Coturnix japonica: one gene and its partner. The protein of the gene in region 1 interacts with the protein of each later gene in a pairwise test. Links are inferred from orthologs where the notes say so. Each region holds a gene or a part of one and is shown on either strand. Other genes may lie near its edges.

What was found.
Region 2: the proteins of ATF2 (region 1) and ATF3 interact in binary tests that used the Homo sapiens proteins (3 or more experiments, as listed by UniProt). The link is inferred for Coturnix japonica from reciprocal best matches to the Homo sapiens genes ATF2 and ATF3.

What each region holds. Positions count from the first base shown.
Region 1 is NC_029522.1:14,857,016-14,860,829, forward strand, and holds part of ATF2 (cyclic AMP-dependent transcription factor ATF-2), read left to right. Parts: intron 1-632; 5' UTR 633-654; coding exon 655-702; intron 703-2,365; coding exon 2,366-2,462; intron 2,463-3,814. UniProt on the Homo sapiens protein: Transcriptional activator which regulates the transcription of various genes, including those involved in anti-apoptosis, cell growth, and DNA damage response.
Region 2 is NC_029518.1:19,271,899-19,276,334, reverse strand, and holds the start of ATF3 (cyclic AMP-dependent transcription factor ATF-3), read left to right. Parts: upstream 1-1,359; 5' UTR 1,360-1,496; intron 1,497-1,826; exon of another isoform or gene 1,827-2,071; 5' UTR 2,072-2,430; intron 2,431-4,436.

The DNA of each region.
Region 1 (3,814 bases):
ATAAAACAGAACAATGTTAGTATCCGTTACTTCATTCTTAAATATTTGTTAGCTTCCTAGTGATTCAGTTGTACAGCTGAGTTGTTATTAAAGTATATATGTGTTTTGTAGTTATATTTGTAAAAGAGTACATAATGGGCTCCCTGCTAGCTTTGCTTTGCATGGAGGAAAAAAAAAATAGATGATTATTAAAAAGTTTACATGATTATGAAGAAAACTATCTAATCAACCGCTTTCATCTGTTGGCACTGTGGTCTTGAGTACTCGTTATTTATCTGCCGCTTTGTGCTTTTCTTGGCAGGGGGTGAAGGGAGTTGGGTAACTATTACAAGATACTTTTGTTTCAGTATCAAACTGTCTTACTATGTTTTCACATGCCTTTTGCAGTTGATTACATTGTGTGCAAACACTTGCCTTTCCAACTGAGGTACACATTTAAAATCTGTTTGATTTTGGCTACAAACTTACAGAGTTTGTTGTCCAGGTGCTCCTCCCATGCTGGATATTTAGATTCATAGTGCAGTCAGAAAGCAGTTCTTGCTTATAGAGTATTAAAATTTCCCGTGGATGTTGATGTACTGATAACTTGTTGCAATATTTGTAACGTGCTTTCTACTGTTGTTTTGGTACAGGTAGCACGACGACCTGTGGAATATGAGTGATGACAAACCCTTTTTATGCACTGCCCCTGGATGTGGCCAGGTAATGGTCTGACTCAAAGTTATTAATGACAGTTGAATAAAAGTAAATCAGTGAAACATATTTCCAGGGACTGAAGAAAAATGACTTAATTGATAGAAAGTACCCATGTTTTCCAGTTCTGCTGAAAAGCAGGTGGCAGCAAGAATTTCTGGCATTTAAATTGTCAGTTTGTTCAGAAAAATAATAGCCATATAATGAAGACAGTTTCCTTTCTTAGGCCTGTCTTATTTGTTTCTGTAAAGAAGTGTACACGTGTTTATATACACACCCAATAAATGTGTAGGTAACCTACATTTTTCAGTATATTTCAACATTAATGAGGAGCTCACTGTGAAACTTGCAGGATTTCTGTGTGTAATAAGTGTTTTAAATTTCACGGTTTTTTGACTTCTCAGTGGTTTAAAACTGATTAATCTTCCCATCAATGGTGACTGCAAAAATTTAATAGAATAATATTTATTTATGCTTTTTTTTTTTTAAATAAAGGCAAGTGTTAGCATTATGCATGCTACAAAATGCTATAATACTTCTAATACATTGTATTAGAAGTATTATTAGTTAATACTTCTAATACATTGTATTAGAAGTATTATTAGTAGATGTAGCACTAAATGAACAGAAAACAACAACAAAAAATAGTTAATGAACACTTTAGTGTTTTAATAGATAAAATGTTTTTTATTTAGCAACATGAAAATGAGTCAGTTTACATTATGTGCTGCATGAGGTTGACTTTCCTGCTGCCTTTTGTATAGAACCAATTTCTTAAACCAGCTGCATTTTTTTTCCTCTATATTGATGTGTGGGTCCCAGGTGTTCACAAAAGTAAGAGTTATAGTATTTCATTCATTTCATATTTCATTATTCATATTTCAAGTGTAGAAACATGTTTTGGGAAGACTTTTCTTAGATTATGTCAAATGAATTACTAACTTTACTCACAGTCAAAGCAGCATAGCAAGTTCCAAGTTAAAGGAAAAATAATCTATTGTACAGCATGTAGTTTGTCTGCTTGCTGCTTCCTTCATGTAGTGTACCCTAAATTGTGGAAGAGTGTGCAAAATACTGCTGGGATACTTCTGAAAACTTGGGAGCTTTTAAAATTGTGATAAGTTTTGATAATTCATAGCCATTCAAGTGGTTTGATGATATAGCATTACTTCCCATTCCATCTGCCTTGCGTTAATTAGTAAACTGTCAGGGGCAGGAGTTACGTTTTATTTTGTTATTTTGCTGTTAAATACAGTAAGTCTATGTTTGTGATTAGAGATCAATTCTCATAACTGTGATTACACCAAACAGTGCAGGTATCACATTGTGGTAATCAATTACTAAACACTGCCAAGATCCGTTAACATAGCGAATGGCTGTTTGCTGATGGTTGATGGAGTCTGTGGCACTCTGAAATGTTATCATGGCCTTTTGATGACTGCAGGTACTTACACTGCCATTTTGCTGATACTGCTGCTATTTGGTTACTGTGAACATTATTTGAGTTTTACCATATTTTTGCTGGTTTTGTTGACCAACAAGGAAGATACTCCAAAGAGTTGTCTTTTAATTTGGTAACAGCTGTTCTACATGTTATGGAAGTGACTTTCTGTGGAACTGTATTTAGTGTGTTTGTATTCAAAATGGTGTTTCTTACATCTTTCTGCCACAGCGTTTTACCAATGAGGATCATTTGGCTGTCCACAAACATAAACATGAGATGACACTGAAATTTGGTCCGGCTCGTAATGATAGTGTCATTGTGGCTGGTTAGTATATAATTTTTTATAACTAGTTTGTTCATATTTTATGGTGGTATGTGCATTCATTTTGGTCTGTTTTCTGTACTTAATCAGTAGATGTGCATTATGAAACTGAAATATTTTCTTCATTGTAGTTGTCTGTGAAGTGTTTTGTGAATGTTTTCCTGTACTATTAACTCTCTGTTATCAGGTGTGTGAGAATGAAACTATGAGGACATTCTGTCTCTTTGCAATTATGTTCCAGCGCATGAACTGTAGTCATAACTGCTAGGTTATGTTAGTGAAGATGCATGTAATAACGCTAATGATATTTCAGTTGAAGTTGCTGTGTGTCAAATTACCTGGTAATAGTAGTGAAATAGAGGAATTTACATAGTAAATTTACAGAAAGACTTTTGAAACTATTTCAGGCAGTAGTAATCAAGGTGCCAGAAGTCTTAAAACTGCAGCTCAATTGTACAGGCATTACGGGAGGCAATTAAGTATTTTGTCCAATATCATATGTCCTATTATTGCATTTCGCTCACTTGGTATTGATTCCTTTCATTTTCATAATATAAGAAAGAAACTGTGAGCTATGAATGCACATCTTGCCTTTGAAACTAGAGCCTGCTTGCTCACCAGAGTGATGTGGTGTGCTAGGCTGGCATTTGAGAAATGCTGCATATGGTTGATCGACGTGGACAGAAGAAATCTTTGATCCTTCCAGCACTGTTAGGGGGTTGTGGTCTGCAAAATCAAACTACTTGTCTCCAGCAGGTGGGGTATGCCTTGTGGCTTATTTTCCTGCAAGGCAGAAAGAAGCGTGCTTTCAAGGCAAAGTGTTCTTAACCACATTGATTATTTGTACATCATGAGAAAATCAACACAGATCTTTAAGGTTTTTTTCTTTTAATCAGTCTTCAAAATATGTACCTAATTAACAGTTTACATGAATGCAAGTGCATCTTAAACATATAAAAACAGCCTCACTTTTCATACATTTAGTTTTCTGGACAAAGTGAAGTAATTTTAAAGTGAATTGCTAAATAACTTGAAGTATTAATACATCCGTCAACTGTAAAGCTAGTTAAAATAAATAACCCCATTGGTGTCATCTTTATGTAGGCTAAGTACAGATTTCTTAAATTTATAAGTTTCCCTGGTATCTTCTTGATTTTAAGTTAGAAGAAATCCTTTGTAGCATAAAACCCACTGAGGCTCCTGAATAATTATCTGAATACATTCAGATAGTTTTTACTGTTCTTCAGGTAACCTGTATTATTTTTAGAGAAAGCTATGTATTCATGTAATTACAAATCAATATCTTGATATATTGGTGCTGTCTCCTTTGACTCTGAAAATTATTTACAATGCAT
Region 2 (4,436 bases), on another chromosome or scaffold:
GAGCTGAGCGTGCTAGCACGGTGACATTTCAAAAGCTGAGAGTACGCTTCCCATCTGGGTGGTCAGCGTGTGAGTTGATGTATGCACACATACACCCGTGTGGACACAGCGCACAGAGGTGAGGTACGGACGGGCTCAGACTAATGTTAGAAATCCGTGTCCTCGGTTAAATGCTCTAAGCTATCGATATGTGCCAGCTTTTCCCACTCGAGACGTGTTACCCGTTACCAAATGCAGCCCCGTGAACGCTGCAAAATGAATTAACTGCCTGAAGGGCTGATCGGGGTCTGTGCTGTAAGTGAATAAACGAGTCTCCAAGCTCTTCCCGTTCTTAGCAGGGAGACCCAAAGAGAACAAGTCTGTATGAACCGAGGATGGAGTATTATCGTATTGGATAACTCTGTGCAAATCTCTGCGAGCCTCGCGCTCTCGGATAGGTGCTTTTTTGATACGTCTATTTTCTAGCGTTTTTGGAAGGCAATTGCTGTCACTTACCGAACCAGGAAGCTGTGGGAACAAAAAAGAACAAAACAAAACCCCTTCACCACCGCCACTAACACGTTCCCCTGCCTCCTACGGGGAGTCTCCGGTTATCCCCGAAACCAGAACGACATCGCGTGCTGCGCCGTTTGAAGGGGAGAAGTTATTTATTTATTTTCAGCGTTCTGGAATTTAATTAAACGGCTCCTTCCCCGTTTCCTCGGGCTAAGAACTGAAGCCCCCCGCCCCGATACGGGGAAGCGTTTCGGGCCGTCAGCTGGAGCGGCACGGAGCGAGCGCGGGGTGGTTCGGCTTTTTTCGGGAGGGGGCGTTCAACAGTTTGGGGGCGAAAAGGGCTCCCGTTTTCTAGTCCTTTCGAAAGCCGCGCTGCCTTCACTTAGTTTGACCGTCTCCGAGCCGTGAGAAGGACTCTGATTTATGATAAAGCAGCACGGCTAAGTCCCGCACGCCTGAGAAGTCGGGACGCCCCCTGAAGTCTGTTAAAAAGAAGAAGAAAAAAAAAAAAACAAAAAAGGGAAGGGGAAAAGAAAGCGCCGTGGGAGGACGGCCCCGTGCCGGGTGCCGGGTGCCGGGCGCTGCCGTCCCGCGGGTCGCTGCCGGCACGGGGCGCTCCGCCGCTTGGGGGAGGGGGTCCCGCGGGGTCCCGGCGGCCCGGCCCGGCTCGGTGAGCTCCTGTTATGGAGAGCGAGGCCGCGCCGCCCCGCCCTCCGTGCAATGGGAAAGCCTTGCATCACCGCCTCGGGCCCCGCTGCCCCCCCGCCCGGCCGCCCGCCCTCCGGGAGCTATTAATAGCATGACATCAGCCCGGGACTCGCCGCCAGAGTAAATACCAGCTCTACCCGCTCGGCTATATAAGGGGGGTGATGCAACCGCGGCGAGAGGCAGAGGCGCGGGGAGCGCGAGCGGGCGCTGCTCTCCCGCCGGCGGAGCGGGCACGGGAGGAAGAGCGGGCGCGGCGGGGCCGGCGAACAGCCCCGGCCGGCGGCGGATCCAAGGTAGGAACCGCGGGACGGCTCCGGGGAGAGGGACGAGCCGGCAAAGCGGAGGAGCCCGCTCCCGGGGTGCGGCGGGAGCGGAGTCCCGAGCGGCTGCCCCGGGCCGGCCGTGCCGCTCGGCGCCTCGCGGGGGCGGGCAGCGCGGGGCTCGGCGCCGGGGGGATGCCGGCCGTGACCGCCCGCGCTGCCGCTCCGACCGCCGCTCCGACCGCCAACGGGGCGCCGAGGAGCGGCTGCGGGGCGCCGGGCAGCCCGCACCACCGGGAGGAAAAGCGGTAGGGACTCGCGCGGTTCTTTCTCTGTGCCGATGTCCGACACGGAGACCGGCTGCTGAAGTCTCGCCTAAGCGAGGCAGGCGTGGCTCGATAGAAAAGTTGTTAGAGAGAAGTAGCTTCCCGTTCGAAATGGGTTCTTCTGGCTTTTGAGCGGGTGGATGCCGGCGGAAAGTGGTTCGGGAGTGATGTGGGATGTCAGAAAGCTTAAGGTCAACCGGCGTGCACGGAGGTTGTGAACTGTAATTGCCCTTAATGCTGTTTAAGATTAACCTCAATGGTTATCGGCGTTTGTTGCATCAGCACCAGAGGAGAAGGAATTCATGAGAAGAAGCAAAACCGAGAGGTCAGCCGTCAGCAGCCGAGCGGAAAGACTCCGAGAAGTCGTTCGGGAATACGCATAACTAACAGAAGTGCACGGCTAGGAATCGTGTGCCGAAGCGAAAACATCGGCAGAGGAGATGGGTAGATTTGGTGAGGATGAAAAGAGCCGCTGAGAAAAGAACAAACAAAGCATAGTGACGGGAGCAGACTTGATTGAATCTACCTGAAGCCGAAGGTACCAGCAATAGCAGAAATGTTCCCCGGGGAATTGCCAAACTAAGAATAAAGTAAAGAAGCGTGAGCTCGCAGCGGGAGCAAGCTGTGCCTTTATGGGTCAGGTCTGTGAAATGTTCGACACCTTCAGTTCCAGTAACTTCAGAAGTCCTCAAAATAGACCGGAGCTGCCATCCATGTGCACGGTCTAATGAAGTAAACAGATAGGATCAGGAAGCCCAGATGTAACTGCAATTTGAGGCTAGATATCCCTATTGCTGTGCAGACCTAGGGAAGAGCGGCATGACACTCTTGAAAGCTGACAGACAGAGGAACAATTTGTGCAGAAGTTGGGAGAAGAAAGGGCAAACTGCTGCGGTTTATGTTTATTAGGAAAATCTAATCTCCATCCTCATAACGCATTTCTAAAAGTAGATCTGTTCCTCAGAAACTGGAAAACATCTACCTTTTGTTATGGAAAGCCAATCTGTTTGGCTTACTATTGGCTTCAGCACAGGCTAATTATTTTTGACATCCCTGTCACTCCCGACCACCAAAGCCGTGCACTGGAAGGAATCCTGCCATGCCATGTACCGGCCCCAGCCCCGCTGGAGAGTCAGCGTGGGGCAAGGAGCCCTGCCAGCTGTGGTGGGCTGGGGACAGGACCCCTCCAGCCTGCCTGGCCTCTGGCAGGGCCCCCGCTCCAAAGTATGGGTAAAGGGAGACGCTGTCAGGGTGCCTGGGAGGTCAACGATTCGTGCAGACAAGGGCACTGCTCTTTCTGGGCTTCCCTTCCCAGTGACAGCCTCCCTTCCATGTTTTTATAAACTGAAAGTGGATCAATAGATACCTGAGGACATTACAGTAGGGTTGCACTGGGGGTCGTGGTGCACTTAGCTCTTGTAGGAATAGCACTGCCTGGTAGATAAGAGCAACTCTCAGGCACGTTACTAAAACACGGGCATTCTTCGTTTCCTCTGGCGCTGACTTTAATTAAAGTTGACCTAAACTGAAATATAAACGAATAACCTCCCCCCCCTCCACCCTCCCACCATGCTGAGAAATGCTTGGCCCAATTAATTATTCCATGTGCTGGAGAAATGGTTTTATTGTTAATTGAAATCTCCTGGTTTGATTGAGTTATATGGAATTAAGTGTTTTGAATGAAGGCAGCAGCAGGAGAGGAGCAGACCGACGGTCAGGGAGCACAGCTCCAAATTGTGTGAACAGTGGGGGCTCAGTGTCACGGAGTCTGGCTGCTTCAGTGAGCTGAACGGCTGAGTGTTGGGAAGTGCTAAATAATGCCAGCAGTTCAGCTGGAAATCACAGGGCCTTTCTGACTCGGGGGGAAAAAAGTAACTGGTGGCTTTCTGAGATTATAGTATTAAAATGTATCGGCACTTTAAATGTGACTCATGAGCAGGGGCTTTCTGAAGAGAATTACATAAATTTCCCAAGGTCTTTCTGAATAACAAATTGTTCCTAATTATTTCCTCATATTTAACAACCAAGGGTGAAATCCTGGCCCCACTGAGGTCAACAGCAAAACTCCTTTTGATTTCAGTGGTTTCAGCGTTTCACCCCTGGGATGTGGGAAATCTTTGGCTCTTTTGTGGTCATTGAGACTCAAAGTGAGGAAACCTCTGCAGCTGGACAAGTGGTTTTCTACCTGCTGGCAGTTCACTGCCCTTGGATTTTTGTGTTTACCTCGCTTAGTGAGGAGCTGGGTTCTACTCCAATTTGCACCGATGTGGATTTACAGTATATTTTTAGATATCTCTGAGCGAAATCTATCTTCTTGTCAAGGCACGTGACCCCAACCACTTCTTGCCATGTCACAGCAGTAGCAAACAGGGAACTGCACAATTGGGGTTGTCCACGTGGAAATTTAACTTACCCACACTGCTGTCCCAAGGCAACTATTTGCTTACCTGCACTACGTTAATTACAACGACTTTGCTATCATTACAACTTTAAACAGGAATAGATTACGTGTCGTGTCATTACCAAGGGAATCCAAGACAACAAACATCTCAAAAACCTCCACAATAAGGAAAGCAGGAAAAGCAATACAGCAAAATCCAATGCACAAAAGTTGCTTTATGATTAGAGGAGGTAATACAATCTATTT